Linked DNA regions of Xenopus tropicalis. Each later gene encodes a partner of the first gene's protein in a complex. Links are inferred from orthologs where the notes say so. Each region holds a gene or a part of one and is shown on either strand. Other genes may lie near its edges.

The links. The genes of interacting proteins can lie anywhere in the genome.
Region 2: tert (region 1) and dkc1 share a complex: the UniProt entries of both Homo sapiens proteins name them as parts of the telomerase holoenzyme complex. The link is inferred for Xenopus tropicalis from reciprocal best matches to the Homo sapiens genes TERT and DKC1.

Annotation. Positions count from the first base shown.
Region 1 is NC_030682.2:58,809,426-58,816,368, reverse strand, and holds part of tert (telomerase reverse transcriptase), read left to right. Parts: intron 1-1,238; coding exon 1,239-1,421; intron 1,422-2,429; coding exon 2,430-2,591; intron 2,592-6,478; coding exon 6,479-6,574; intron 6,575-6,943. UniProt on the Homo sapiens protein: Telomerase is a ribonucleoprotein enzyme essential for the replication of chromosome termini in most eukaryotes. Active in progenitor and cancer cells. Inactive, or very low activity, in normal somatic cells.
Region 2 is NC_030684.2:38,917,293-38,924,748, reverse strand, and holds the start of dkc1 (H/ACA ribonucleoprotein complex subunit DKC1), read right to left. Parts: upstream 4,650-7,456; 5' UTR 4,555-4,649; coding exon 4,539-4,554; intron 4,423-4,538; coding exon 4,364-4,422; intron 2,982-4,363; coding exon 2,895-2,981; intron 2,606-2,894; coding exon 2,514-2,605; intron 2,156-2,513; coding exon 1,971-2,155; intron 1,332-1,970; coding exon 1,267-1,331; intron 973-1,266; coding exon 846-972; intron 249-845; coding exon 118-248; intron 1-117. Other genes in the region: cmc4 (cx9C motif-containing protein 4), read right to left, coding at 6,987-7,180.

The DNA of each region.
Region 1 (6,943 bases):
TCACTATAGAGTTACATATTTAAGTTGGGTTGAAAAAAAGTCCATCAAATTGAACCCCTCCAAACAAACCCCAGTGCGTATATATAGGAGAACTGACCCCTAACAACACTGGAGCAATTAGGAGATGCCACTACTCTTTGTAATTTATACTTTAGCCAGTTTTTTTTATCCAACTACAAATATGTTCCAGGCCAGTATTCCTTAATTTAAGCAGTAACCTTCTGAACCTACAGTGGCAATCACAGAGCTAAGCTCTATTAATACCTTGGGATGAATACCATCCGGTCCAGGACCTTTGTTTACCTTTTGAAATTCCTCCCGAGTGACCCATGCATGAGTAGCTATATTACTAGAACTGGGCATATTAAAAGGGAAGCCTTCATTAGCTGGCTCTTCAGTTGTGTAGACAGACAAAAATAACAATTCAGAACCTCTGCTTTTTCCCTGATCTCATTGAACAACTGACCTTCCTCTGATAATAAGGGTTCCACTTATTTACATATTTAAAAATGATTTTGGGTTTATTTACTCCTCTCTGTAATACAATTTTCCATCCCTATTTTAGCTTGGCTCATTAAAGCATACAAGTAAGCTATATAGCATTTAACAGTGAAACACTGTTTCCAGAACTGCAAGCACCTCTTGATTTTCCTCATGCATTTTTAAAGGAGAAGGAAAGGCTAAGTCACTTGGGGGTGCCGAAATTTTAGGCACCCCCAAGTGACTTAGATCGCTTACCTTTTAACCTGGGCTGGTGCCCCTGTTAGGAGAGAACAGCACCAGCCCGCGGTAGAAGCGAGTGCTTCCTATTCGCTTGCGTGCGCATGCGCAGTAGAGTGAAAAGCCGAACTTAAACAACAAAGTCGGCTTTTCACTCTACTGCGCATGCGCCGGCCGACGGATTTCGCAGAAGAAAGAGGAAGGAGGAAGCACTTCCTACAGGTACCCCGGGCTGGTGCTTTTTTCTCCTAACAGGGGCACCAGCCCAGGGTACGGGGTAAGCGATCTAAGTCACTTCGGGGTGCCTAACATTTTGGCACCCCCAAGTGACTTAGCCTTTCCTTCTCCTTTAAGCTAGTGTATTGCAATTGCTTTAGTAAATTGTGTATTGCAGTTGCTTTAATTCTCCATATGTTAGTACCTTGTTAGTGCCATAGTACCTTAAGCAGTTTAACAATGCTGACATTTTACAGATTCCTTTTGATTTATTTCAAATTTTTTTTTCCTTTATGTGGCAGATTCAACATTTTACCTCTCGGGTTCGAAACCTTTTTAGTGTTCTTAACTATGAATGGAATAGAAATTGCAGCCTAATTGGCTCATCTGTTTTTGGCATGGATGATATATACAAACAGTGGAAAAAATTTGTGCTAGATTTTGAAAAATCGAGAGCTGAAAAAGGCAAATTTTACTTTGTGAAGGTAAGTAAAAACAAACATCTTGTTAAATGTTCTCCCCATCATTAAACCTGTAAAGTTAATTCTTAATGATAATTGTTATTATATTAATAATGAATAGAACATACTTAAATGGTAGAGAGAGGAACTTTAGCTATCAATCTAGTTCTGAGCCAGCTACACTGTACAGAGTCAGTGCAGCTCTTCTCTTATAGAGGTAACAAGTAAATGATTGGCTGGGCTGTCATCACTAGTTTGACCTAGGAAACATCTGTATTTAACATTTTGTATTTGAGCAGACACAGTAACCAGGGCTCAGAATATTCACAGCAAAAGTTGAATTATGAGGTTGGGACACTGGTGTTTTTTCTATTTCAAATTTGTTTCCATTGGTATCAATTCACTTATAGGGCTTCCAGTGCTGCATATTGAAATACTTAAGTTATTCTGTGTTGAGAGTGCTATGTGAGTGGCGTTGCATCCAAGTCCTCATACTAAATATCATACACTTAGCGATCTATATTTGTCACTTGGTAATGTGAGAGAGTAACAGGTATATGTATATATTTTCCTTTTACATCCCTCCCTGTTTACAATGACATCAATTATCTAACCTCAGTTTCTTTGACAGAGTCTTGTGCTTGAGATGCACGGTAATGTCACTTGCCAGTCATTGGCTGTAGACCCTACGGTAGTCACATGTAAAAGCCAGTTTATCACTGAATAAAACTGTGCATGGATCCAATTAATTATCTTGAGAGAAGAATTATAGAGAGTATGTGTATAGCACTAGTAGCCTTTTATAGGAAATGTATCCTTCACAAGTATTCCTCATTCACTCAGCACAGCCAAACTGTTTTCCATGTACACACACAAATTTGGTGGTTTGATATAGCTACTTAATGAATCTATCAAACAGTATCAAGCACTTTGTTGTATAATATTGCTATATACTAACAGGAAACACAAATGTAATGTACTGCATTCTTTCTGATTTACAGTTTAATCTCTGTGCTGGAATTTTCTCTTTAGACAGATGTTAAGGGAGCATATGATACCATTCCACATTCAAAGCTCGATGAAGTGATCTTAAAAGTAATTAATCCAAATGCAAATGAAGTATATTGCATACGACGTTATGCCTCAGTTTCAGTGGATTCAACTGGACGCATTATAAAATCTTTCAAAAGACATGTAAGAACATATATATGAAAACTGTTACAACAGATTTAAATCAGAAGTTCTCCTGTAAATTAACTTGTAGTCTGTTAAAGTTGGAACTATTCTAAGAAACTTTTTAATCTTCACTAATTATATTGTATGGTGTTTGAATTATGAGTCTATATATTCTGCCTGTAAACAAGCCTTAAAATATGTTTCCCACTATAAATATGAGACGTGTTTAGTTTCAACCTGGCTTACCTAAAACAGGTAGGTAAAGTGCAAATTCTACATCTTGCTGAAAATACCTACTTTTGGCAATTTCTGTTTAAGGGTAGGAAATTACTATATATACTCGAGTATAAGCCTAGTTTTTCAGCACCCAAAATGTGCTGAAAAAAGTCACCCTCGGCTTATACTCGAGTCGGGTGCCATGGGTCCCTCTAGACTAGCACCCTCTGTCCTTTGTGTGCAAATTAGGCCACCCGCAACCAGACCCTCCAGTGCCCTGGCCTAGGCTCCCACTAGCATTACTTATTTCCCCTTACATCCCTCCGGGACTGGGTCTGCTGCCAGTTTGCCAATATGCAATGAGCGTGGGGTAGTACTCATATTGTTTTTGTTGACCCTATTCTCTAATTACAGAGCTAGTTTACTGTTTTTCTTTGAAATAAATATTGAAAAACATATACCCCACTGATGCCTCAATTAATGTAATTTTATTGGTTTTTATTTTGATTATTAAAACTTAGCAGTAGCTGCTGCATTTCCCACCCTAGGCTTATACTCGAGTCAATAAGTTTCTCCAGTTTTCTTAGGTAAAATTAGGTACCTCGGCTTATATTCGGATCGGCTTATATTCGGATCGGCTTATACTCGAGTATATACGGTACTTGTCCTTAAATAGGTACGACACTGACTAAGGCTGATTCTGACTTGTACAATACCTTTATAGAATTTGTATTTACTTTCTTTGCCTGTGTGGGTTTCCTCTCATGCATACAGGTATGTTAAAGGGTTCCTGTTAAAAATGACCATAGTATATAGTCTGTCAGTGCTTTCCAACTTCTGTGGCACTGAGGGCTGGAATGTTTCTGGCCTAAATGGTGGAGGGCTGTTAATGAAAGCAATTTGACCACTCCCCCTTTTTAAACCACACCCTCTTCAAACCACAACTATGTTATCGCAAAGTATACACAAACACACAAAAACACTTTTTTTTTTTTTTTACTTATTTATTTTATATTTTACCCCTTTGTCTTTGTTTTTTTCCTAAAAACTGTTTATTTTGACAGCCTGACTATTGGATCAGATATTCTGACCACTAATTACACTGTTGTGTGACTTATTTTGCTGTTTCACTAATTTGCACAATTTTTGTGGTTTTATTGCATTTTTATCCCTGTATAAGTGTTCCTGATCTGTTTTTTTAGCTTCTGGTTTTCTGGGGGTCTGTGTATAGTTAGGGGGGGGTTACGGCACATAATACGCTGTTAGGGGGCTCTGTATGCAAAAGCTTAGTAGGCAGGCGAGAAATCCATATGCGCTATTTTCATTTTGGGTTCAGTACACACCACAGACTTTGGTATATCTTTGCATATTGGGCATCAAACTGTTCAGTAGACCTCTGGTGTTCCTATTTGGGGTGATATGCCTTTGTACGCAAGAAATTGTGTGGGATAAAAGCAGCAAATTGCAACGTTTTTAGACGATTTTCTGAAATGTCATAAAAACCACTAACTTTAGGAAAGCTTTGCAGATTAGTACTTTGGTGTTGAAAAGACTCTTTACCCATGTTGGATTTCTCAGAATGTGTATTTTCCAAAAATATATGATTTTCTGGGGGGTCTCTGTATAGTTAGGGGGTGTTACGGCACATAATACACTGACGGGGCACTGTGTGCAAAAGCTGACTTGGCAGGCAAGAAATCCTTATGCGCTATTTTCATTTTGGGTTCAGTACACACCACAGACTTTGGTATATCTATGCATATTGGGCATCAAACTGTTCAGTAGACCTCTGGTATTGCTATTTGGGGTGATTTGCCTTTGTATGCAAGAAATTGTGTGATATGAAAGCGGCAAATTGCAACATTTTTAGACGATTTTCGGAAATGTCATAAAAACCACTAACTTTAGGAAAGCTTTGCAGATTGGTACTTTGGTTTAGAAAGGACTCTTTACCCTTGTTGGATTTGTCAGAATGTGTACTTTCCAAAAATATATGGTTTTCTGGGGTGAGCATAATTTTTTGTAGCTTTATCCCACATGAAATTATATAAATGTGTTGATTTTGCAGGAGCTGAAATAACAGAAATGATAGATCATATGGGGGTATGTTCACATTGGGGCCCCTACATGCCACATACTTAGGTAAACCTGCACATAATATAGAGTCATTGGACTATTTTGACAGCTGAGAAAATTCATATGCACTATTTTCATTTGGGTGCCTCTGTACACCACATATCTTTGCATATTGGGCACCAAACTGTTCATTATACCTCTGGCATTCATATTTAGGGTGATGTGTCATTGTATGTAAGAAATGTTGTAAGATAAATGTGGCAAATTGCAACATTTTTAGGCATTTTCCAGAAAAGTCATGACAGAAATGATAGCTTGCATGGGGTATGTTCACATTGGGGCCCCTACATGCCACATACTTAGGTAAACCTATACATATTGGGCATCAAACTGTTCAGTGGACCCCTGGCATTCAAATTTAGGGTGTTTTATCTTGGTACCTAATGCTATGTGGGAGATATGATGCTGCAAAATGGAAGCTTTCAGGGGATTTTTGGAAATGTCATCAAAATTGCCAAATTTAGGAAAGCTTGGTACTTTGGAATAGAAAGACATGGGGGATTTGGGGGGAATGTGTACTTTCCAAAAATATATGGCTTTCTGGGGTGAGCATAATTTTTTGTGGCTTTATCTCACATGAAATTATATAAATGTGTTGATTTTGCAGGAGCTGAAATGACAGAATTGATAGATCATATGGGGGTATGTTCACATTGGGGCTCCTACATGCCACATGCTTAGGTAAACCTATACATATTGGGTCTCAAACTGTTCAGTGGACCCCTGGAGTTCAAATTTAGGGTGTTTTATCTGGTTACTTTATGACCTGTAGGAGAAAAGGTACTATAGACTGGAAGCTTTGAAGCGATTTTTCAAAAAATTCACAAATTTTTATAAAAACCAATAACTTTAGGAAAGCATTGCAACTTGGTAGTTTGGAGTAGACAGACAGTTCTACCTACAGAATCTGTTCTTTCCAAAAATGTATAATTTTCTGGGTTAAACTTTCTGTTAGTGTAATTTTTGGCCTTGAAATATAACTTTTTTTGAAAAAAACAATATATAGTTTTCCTGGGTAAACTAAAAGTCCTTCCCCCCCCGGAAAGGCCCCTAAATTAAAAGAGTGCAAAATGTTCAAAAATGGTCTGGCAATACACGTTTCGCTTTGACCAAAATGGCTGGCAGTAAAAGGGTTAAGAAATAAACCCAGACGTCAGACCCAGAACAAAAGAAATGGACTATACCTATAATAATGGCTAGGCGAGAGTCCAACCCCCCCACCCTAACCCCCTATCCGACCTCAACTTTACTTTTTCTATCTTCCCCCCCCACACACGTTTTATTTGTAACCTACCTTGTTGAAAAACAAACAATAAAAAAAAAGTTAAAAAAAATAAATCTATTAAGCCAAAGCCTGCCTAGCAGTATGAAACAACCTTAAATGATGCCAGTATCTCAGAACACACTTAAAATAGGGTTACAAACCACTGTAAATTGAAATGTAGAACCCTTGAAAAAAACAGAGTCTTAAGAAAATCTGTTTTTTATGTTTTGACCTAAACACTGCAAAAAGTAATGTAGGTATGTATGTTATGTATTTTTTTCTCCTTAAGGTATCTGCATTAGCAGATGTTCTTCCAAATATGAAACAGTTTGTTTCAAAGCAACAAGAAAAGAACTTGACACGTAACACAATTCTAGTGGAACAGGTAATGTTTTAAGTATTTTTTTTTTTAATTATTTTGGCTCAACAGTTGTTCTTGTTAAAGGGATACGGTCATGATTTTATGTTGTTTTTTAATAACTAAATTACACTGTGTACATAGCAAATCACTAAATTACACTGTGTACATAGCAAATCATGCACTCTACCATTTACAATTTTATTTTTGAACCAATAAATGTATTGTTTTTTAGTTGTAATATTGACGTGTAGGCAGCCATCTCAGTGCATTTTGTCTGATTCTGAGCTTTCGGAAAGAGCCAAAACTACACAATGCATCAGCTTTAAGGCAGCTATTGTGTCTCTTATTCAGTGGTATCTGGAAAAGTCATAAAGTTGTGGTTCTATTTCTCCT
Region 2 (7,456 bases), on another chromosome or scaffold:
ATTAATGTTCCAAAGCTTATTACCAGTATGAGACAGACAACTCATACTGAACTCAACGCTTTTGGGTGCAGCAGGTGATGCCACCTAGAAAATTTTATCTATCGATATGGTACCTACCTTCTCTCCTAGGACACCAGAGCGAACACGACGTAGCTCCTGCATTTGACCTCCAACCCCCAGCAGCAAGCCAATGTGAACACACAGAGTCCGGATATATGTACCAGCCTCACAGCTTACCCAAAATATACCTAAAGAGCAGGAAGGGGGACAAAGGAATTAGTACCACATAAAAGGTTTGTTAGACTCTTTTATACATCAGAAGACCAACACCAACATACCCATCTAAAGCAGTAAAGCTGTTCCAATGAACATGAGCCCACCTTTCATTTGTTAAAGTGGCTTTGCTGCCTTTAAATAAAAAGATATCATCATCTGTTTATGCACAGGGCATGGTCTATTTTGTATTTAGACATCAGAGCAGTCATGTACCTTGCATTCTACATAGCCCAAGCATGTACATAAAGCTTTTGCAAGCATAAGCAATATTATAGCTCTTGACACCTTGAGCAATTCCACACCAGTATCAAAAGTATCCGTATCAGAGCAAAAATAGTGTTCATACATTCTAAAATTTCAATGGCCCACAACAGGTGCCTCAAATACAGACTGAACACAGTATATCTTCCCAGTACACCTCCAGAAGGCATTTCAACATCTCATTTTAAATTTAACAAACCATAATACACCTTATAAGCCATTACACCTTGTATTAACTGCTTAAACGCACATGAAATACCTACTTTTATAGCATTTAAAGTCTGAGGACAACCTGACCAGTAACTCACCTAGCCGACGTTCAGGGTCATATTCTATTAGTTTGCTCTCGTAGATTGTTCTTACACGCAACTGCCTCTTAACAGCAGCTATTAAAGGTGGACGCTGGAATAATGCACCAGTGAGTGTCTCCAAAGCCTGAGGACAGTAAGAATAAAAGTTGGCCGAGCATTAAACATAGGAAACTTGCATAGTGCACCTTTGCTAGGAGGCTGGTTTGTTTACTGATTTGCCACTAGCAAAAAGGAGACATAAGTTAACAGAAATCTATAGCCACCATCTTGCTTTAGATAAAGTAATGGGGAAAATTGATGTTCAAACTTGTCTTGTGCTCATGCTGCATTGATTGTGTGGCAAACATGAAATCTCATATATTGGGACATAATTTGGGAATAGGTCTGGCAGCCAATTTAAGGTAGACCATTACCTTACCCGTGAAAGTTGTAGTTCGTTCTCCAACGCATTGTGCAACCGTACAATTCCCACATACTCTTTCCCTAGAGGGGACAGAGCAAAATGGGGGCAGCCAGTTAATATGAACAGCAGAGGGCGAATGACACATGAATAGGTGTCAACGCAAAGTAAGATGCCATCTTCAGTCCCTACTAGTGACATTTTAAGAGTCACTACTTAATATCCCTTCATATTTATCTAATTTAGGTTTTTGGTCTCAAAAACTTCTATAAATGTCACCCTTAGTTTGCACTTCTAACCTGACTCTATACTGAAGCAGTTATATCAGTAAATGTGCCAATGGTTTATGTTTCAACTATACATCACATGTTCAGCCATTACCTACAGAAAAAATCAACCATAGTCCTGCTGTATTATTAAAAGCCAGGAGTATGAGTAAGTTTCTTCTAAAGTTTGCTTTCAGCAACAGTAGACCAATAAATACATCCTGCCTACTTGTTGAAATATACCAGAACTGGTAATTAAAAAATTTAAGCAATACAATTTAAAATCCTACTCCTACTAGCCAAGAGCATTTCTCAAGAGAATTTGCATGGCCCAATTTGGTTTTCTTTGGACCATCAGTCCCTGTGCATGCCGTGTACAGTACATCTTTGAAATAAGCAAGTCTCTTCATCTTAACATAAGGTGTAATTTATATCTTGTTTCAGGACGGGACTCACCTGCACTCTGTTGCGACTTTACAAGTCGTGTTGCGCGATCAATGCAGACAATCAAACAGCCTGTTACTTTCGGATCCAGGGTCCCACTGTGACCAGTTTTCTCCGATCTTAAAATACGCCTTATCCATGCTACAACCTCATGTGATGAAGGATTAGCAGGTTTATCCAAGTTAATAAACCCTGTTCTGAGAGAGAATAAATGACTGTGGAAGCAATACCTACACCTTATCCAAGCAGGTACTGAAATTATAAAGTATAAAAAAACAAACAAAAACCACACACTATTCAGGCTGATGTTTATAACCTATTAGCATATATATTATTCCATAGAGATTTGTATTAGAGAATATTTGAAGTGGTGTCCTTCTATGACACCACCTCCAGATTGCCGAAAGAAAAAGGACTACTAACTGGCTTTTTACATGCCTTACCAAGGCATGGAATTTGCTAGACAATGAGCAGTAAATAAAAATGATTCACTCTTAAACCCCAATAGCACTGTAAGCAAACAGTATGTTGATTGAAAAAACACCCTTGACTTACTTAATATATTCAGAAATCTCTCTTTTCAGTGGGTTGGAACCAGATGGAATAGGAGTGTAATGAGCTGTTCGGATGTTTAATTTATCAAAGTTCTAAGGGAAAGAACAAACATATTGATAAAGTATGGTATAAGCTTAACTCTAGCTAATGTAAATTTTATGTGCATAGCAGTAGGGGGATGTAGTATGATTGGGGTAAATATTTCTAGCACTGTAAAAGATATCACTGAAGAAACAGGGTTATTCATTAACACATTTATAAAGATCATATGCCACAAGTCTAAAAAGAAATGCAAAAACATACAACATATTGATACAGAGTGCCATGTCTCCAATTAATTTCCAATAAATATTGATAGCTTCATCCTTGCCACATACAGACCTTGAGAAGTAAAGGCCATTGAGATGTGTCTAGCTGAGCCACTTTAGATTCAGGTTTGATTAGAAAGTCTCCCTCATGTTGAATATCCTGCAAGAGGAGGAAAGGAGTTAATATGAGATTCCCGTATTATCTTAATTCATCAATGACATCATAGGAGATGCTCTATTAAGTGGACCAACCAACCTAGTACACTTTCTGCTGTTAATCCCTTGTTACATGGTACTAACACTTCAGCAAAAGGATAGTTCCATCAAGCACAGAGAAGCAATACACTATTGTCAGACCCCTGAAAAGTTTCCTTGGTTTTTATTTTGCATTACCTGGCCAAATGGAATCTTAATAATCTGCACCTTTCATACACTGTTTTGTTAAATAACTGCATTATTAAGCAATACCCATGTCCGTAACAGAGTGGCCAGTGCCTGTTGCAGCTTCCTCAATGCCTGTTGCAGCTGCCGCAAATATTTGAGACTGTGTACCAACTGCCCTTAGAGGGCAAGGAAGCCACACCTACATTTTTTTTTTTAAACACGTGTTGCCCCCTTGATGCTGTTAAAAAGGAAGGATTTTTTAAGTGTTCTCCCACTGACTGCCTCCTTGTTCTATAAATGGGTTGAAAATCTAGAAGAACAGGGCTGGCAGCCACTATGACCAGCCACATTACTTCTGGTGTGCAGGCTCTGCATTACCGATTTCTGTTCACTGGAAAACAGGACCAGAGCAGCTTCCAGTGCAAATTCTCCTCCACATTTAACCTGAGGGACACTTGCACAATGAATATGGCATGGCTGTCCCTAACCCTTCAACACTACTCTGCATTCTAATGGGAAAACTGGGCAAATGATGAAGGGGCACTTAATATAGTTGGAGGGGTAATTGAGTAATTTATAAAAGAGGCATCTGTGCATTTCATTGCCCTTTAACACTCCACACTTTTGGTCACATTTGCACCAAAGACAGCTTATTTCATTGGTTGAAACCACTAGGTTTTTTCAGACAACTCCCTTATAAAAGTAGGGGTCCACAGACCATAGGATTTGTCCAAGACCTAACTGCCAACCCACATCAGAGGCCTCCAACTCTTAGGACTTTGAAACTCGTGTAAAACTTTATTTTCCCTCAACTTTCAATCCCCAAATTAAGGTTCAGATTCAATACGTGGCATTTCTAATTGAAGGGCCCCCCTCAGATAAATGTAGCAAAACAGCCAGGATCAAAATAAAGAAGTTGCCATTAAATTGCCTCTTTCACATGGTGTTATTTCTGCGTTTTCTAAAGTTATCGCTTTCTATATTGCAATCCCGTATTTAATGGCGGCCAGTGTTGGCCATGCTTTGCAAGCCTTCCGCCTATGGGCCAGTACAGGAAATCAGAACCGACCCAGACAGACCTGCTCAGTGCGCATACAGAACCTCCCTGAATAACCATTGCACAGTATTACTATTTATTATATTAGAGGGGGGACTCACTGCCACGTCCTCTGCTCCGAGAATCTGACTGCGACGCTTTTTCGCCTTCTTTTTGGAACCTAAAAGTGAGAAAAAGCAAAATTAAAAACAAGGCAACGAAATGAAATGTGCAGCTACGGCGCTGGGCACATTCAAACTGCAAACTGCATGGAAGTCATCTGCAGAAACTGCTCACCCTCCCCGTCCGCCATGTCCTCTCTCTCTCCTGTAACACGCGGTGAGTGAGGCCGAATAGTGAGAGCACTAACCGGATATAGCACATGGGAGGAGCTACCCCTGGGGCGCCCGCCCCTTCCTGCTAGGGGCGCATCACATGGCACTGACCGACAGCCTATGGCATCTCTCTCTGTTACGTCTCTGCCACTTGTGTGGGGGAGGCCGCCTGTTAATGCGCCATGTTCAAAATGCGAAGAGCGTGTGTGCTTATTTGGTTTAGCTGGCTGTTCTTCGAATATAAAACATTCCGCAGCAGGGAATCATAGGGCAGATACACTTATAATAAATATGTGGCTGCGGGCAGTGTTTGGATGTTACAGAGGGTATTTGCGCTGATAGATAGCCCTTAGAGAGGGAACAGTGGGACAGGACAAGCAACACGTGTACAGACACACAGTCTTATTCTCTTTACCTATCAGGGATGTGAAGCCAACAACCCCGACTTGCAGCGCTGGGCTCCTCAGTTTGATTCCAGCCTGACTACTATACTATTTCATATAGCGATCTGTTAGAAACAGTAGCAGAAGCTTTATGTTTTAATATATGAAATCAACAGACCTGATCCTGTGTACTACATATATCCTGATAAAATGTAATTGGATTTGCTTCAATCTATATAGAGAGAGAGCTCAACCCCCTTATTACCTGTGAAGGTGTCAGGTACTAGTACTGAAAGACCCTGGCCAACTGGGTCACTCTTAATGCACAGAGGAATTTTAGTAGCTTACTGAGATTGTACCACAACCATTTCTCTTCTGTGTAATTAGCAGCAAACATAATGCCCCAATCTAGGTTCTGAAATCCTGCCCTTGAGTATATTTGTGGTTTTTGCAACAAACTTTAAATACCATTATGGTCACTGTTACCCAGAGGTTCAACCAACTGTTTAGGGTCATTCAAGACCACTAGATCCAGTACAGCATAATTTCTGGTTGGCTCAACAAACTTTGACATAAATCTTCATGCAACAAGTTCATAAACTTGGTCCTATTCAGGGTTGGACTGGGCAACAGGAAATTCCCAGTGGGCCTAGTAAGCCCCTGCAGCCCAGACCCGACCCTTGCCGGCGCTCCCCGGCCGACTGTTCCTCCCCTGACGCATTAAATTTATGCGCGCTCGGGGAGGACGTCGGGTGGGGGACCCTGCGGGCGGTTAGGGGACATGGCCGGCCCTGCAACCCCCAGTCCGACACTGGTCCTATTATCTGTCCCTGGCAGTATTCCACCATGCGTTTTGTGTCCTTGTAAGGAATGTTTCAAACTTAACTCATTTTCTTCAGTAAATGTATTCAAGGTTCGAATAAACATCTTTAATATGAGATTGTTTGCATAGTGTGACAACAACTGTAACAATTTTTCATGATCCAACCTAAGGTGTTTGTGGCTACTGGGAGCTCTGCAGTGTGGATGGGTTAAAAAGCTGTAATGCAGTGAATTGAGGGTTAAAGTACTGCTTCTATTTTTAAGCCACATTTGTCCTTATTTTGGAATCACTACCCTAATTTTCTGGACTTTAGTTACAATGGCACATTTGACTGATGCCCACTAATACAGTTAAAAGTGGGATGTTAGACACAACACTTACACTAATTTAGATACTAACTTACATTATTTGACAGCTTTTGTGGATGCTTGTGGAGGTATTCAGTGGTACTCTTAAACTAAGAGATCCACAATTTACCCCACCACCATGATTTAGTTTTTTTTCTAATTGATTTTAATGGTCATCCCTTTGTGGTTAATTAATTTATTTTAAAATGATTATTAAAAGTTAAGTTTTAGAATTTAGTGCACAAAACTTCTCTAACTTTAGTAAGATTCAACTTTAATAAATGTGCCCCTTAGTAACTAATCCACCAGACAAAATAAGTGTACTAAACTAATTTATCCACAAGCAGCGGTGTAACTATATTTACAGCAGATTGCAGAGTCAGCTGTGCAGTAGTCCCCCCTTCCCGGCCCCTCTCCTCACATTTAAAATAGTAGAGTGGTGGAGGAGGCATGGCACCAGTGAGCCGTGAGGGGAGGAGGGACTTTTTATTGCAGGGGGACCTAGTGCAACCAAGTTACGCTACTTTCTCACTTCACACACAAAGGAAAAAAGCAGTTTACCTCAGTCAGCCAGGTAACCTCAGAAAACACCCAGTAGTCAGTAATTGCTTCTTACTCCATCATTTCACCCAGCACTCCCAGCAATTTCTGTCATTAGCCACCTTTTGCAGCAGAGTTTACATCTTGCACCTGGCGCTTTAAAAGCTGCAAAGTATGTGCAGTGCAGCACTGATCTCTTTCATTAAGAATTCATTCAGTCATGCTGAGGTGACATGTTTTCAATTGATGTAAATACTTTCTAAAAAAGAGATTTTGAATTTGCAGCTTAACTTGCTTTAGAATTTTATTTATCCATGTCATTGTTTTGTTTTACATCCATTATTACAGTCTGCTTCCTGTGCGGTCTTCTGGACTAACTGGTCTTCAGATGTTGAAGCCCCTTCATGCTGGAATCCAGAACAACACACTGAGCGATGGGCTGTGTACTTGGAACAACAATCACGCATGGCTTTGAATTCAGGCTCACACATTTTCTCCAGGTATCTGTGCGCTATGGACACATGAAGATTTTGCAATATGAGCCCATTTGGGAAAGCTTGCACAGGATGGAGGACAGCATAGCATATAGGAAGAGAAATAACAAAACCTCCAAGAGCAGAAACTATTTGGAGGGCGGTTAGAGAGTTATTTAAAATACCACTCAAGAAATAACAAAACAAAAATAATGTGAGGGAGGATTTGGAATTTTAACGCTTTCACTGCCATCCAAATTTCACAATGCATTTCCATAGAATGCCAGGTGTTAGCATAACAAGAATCTTCAGAG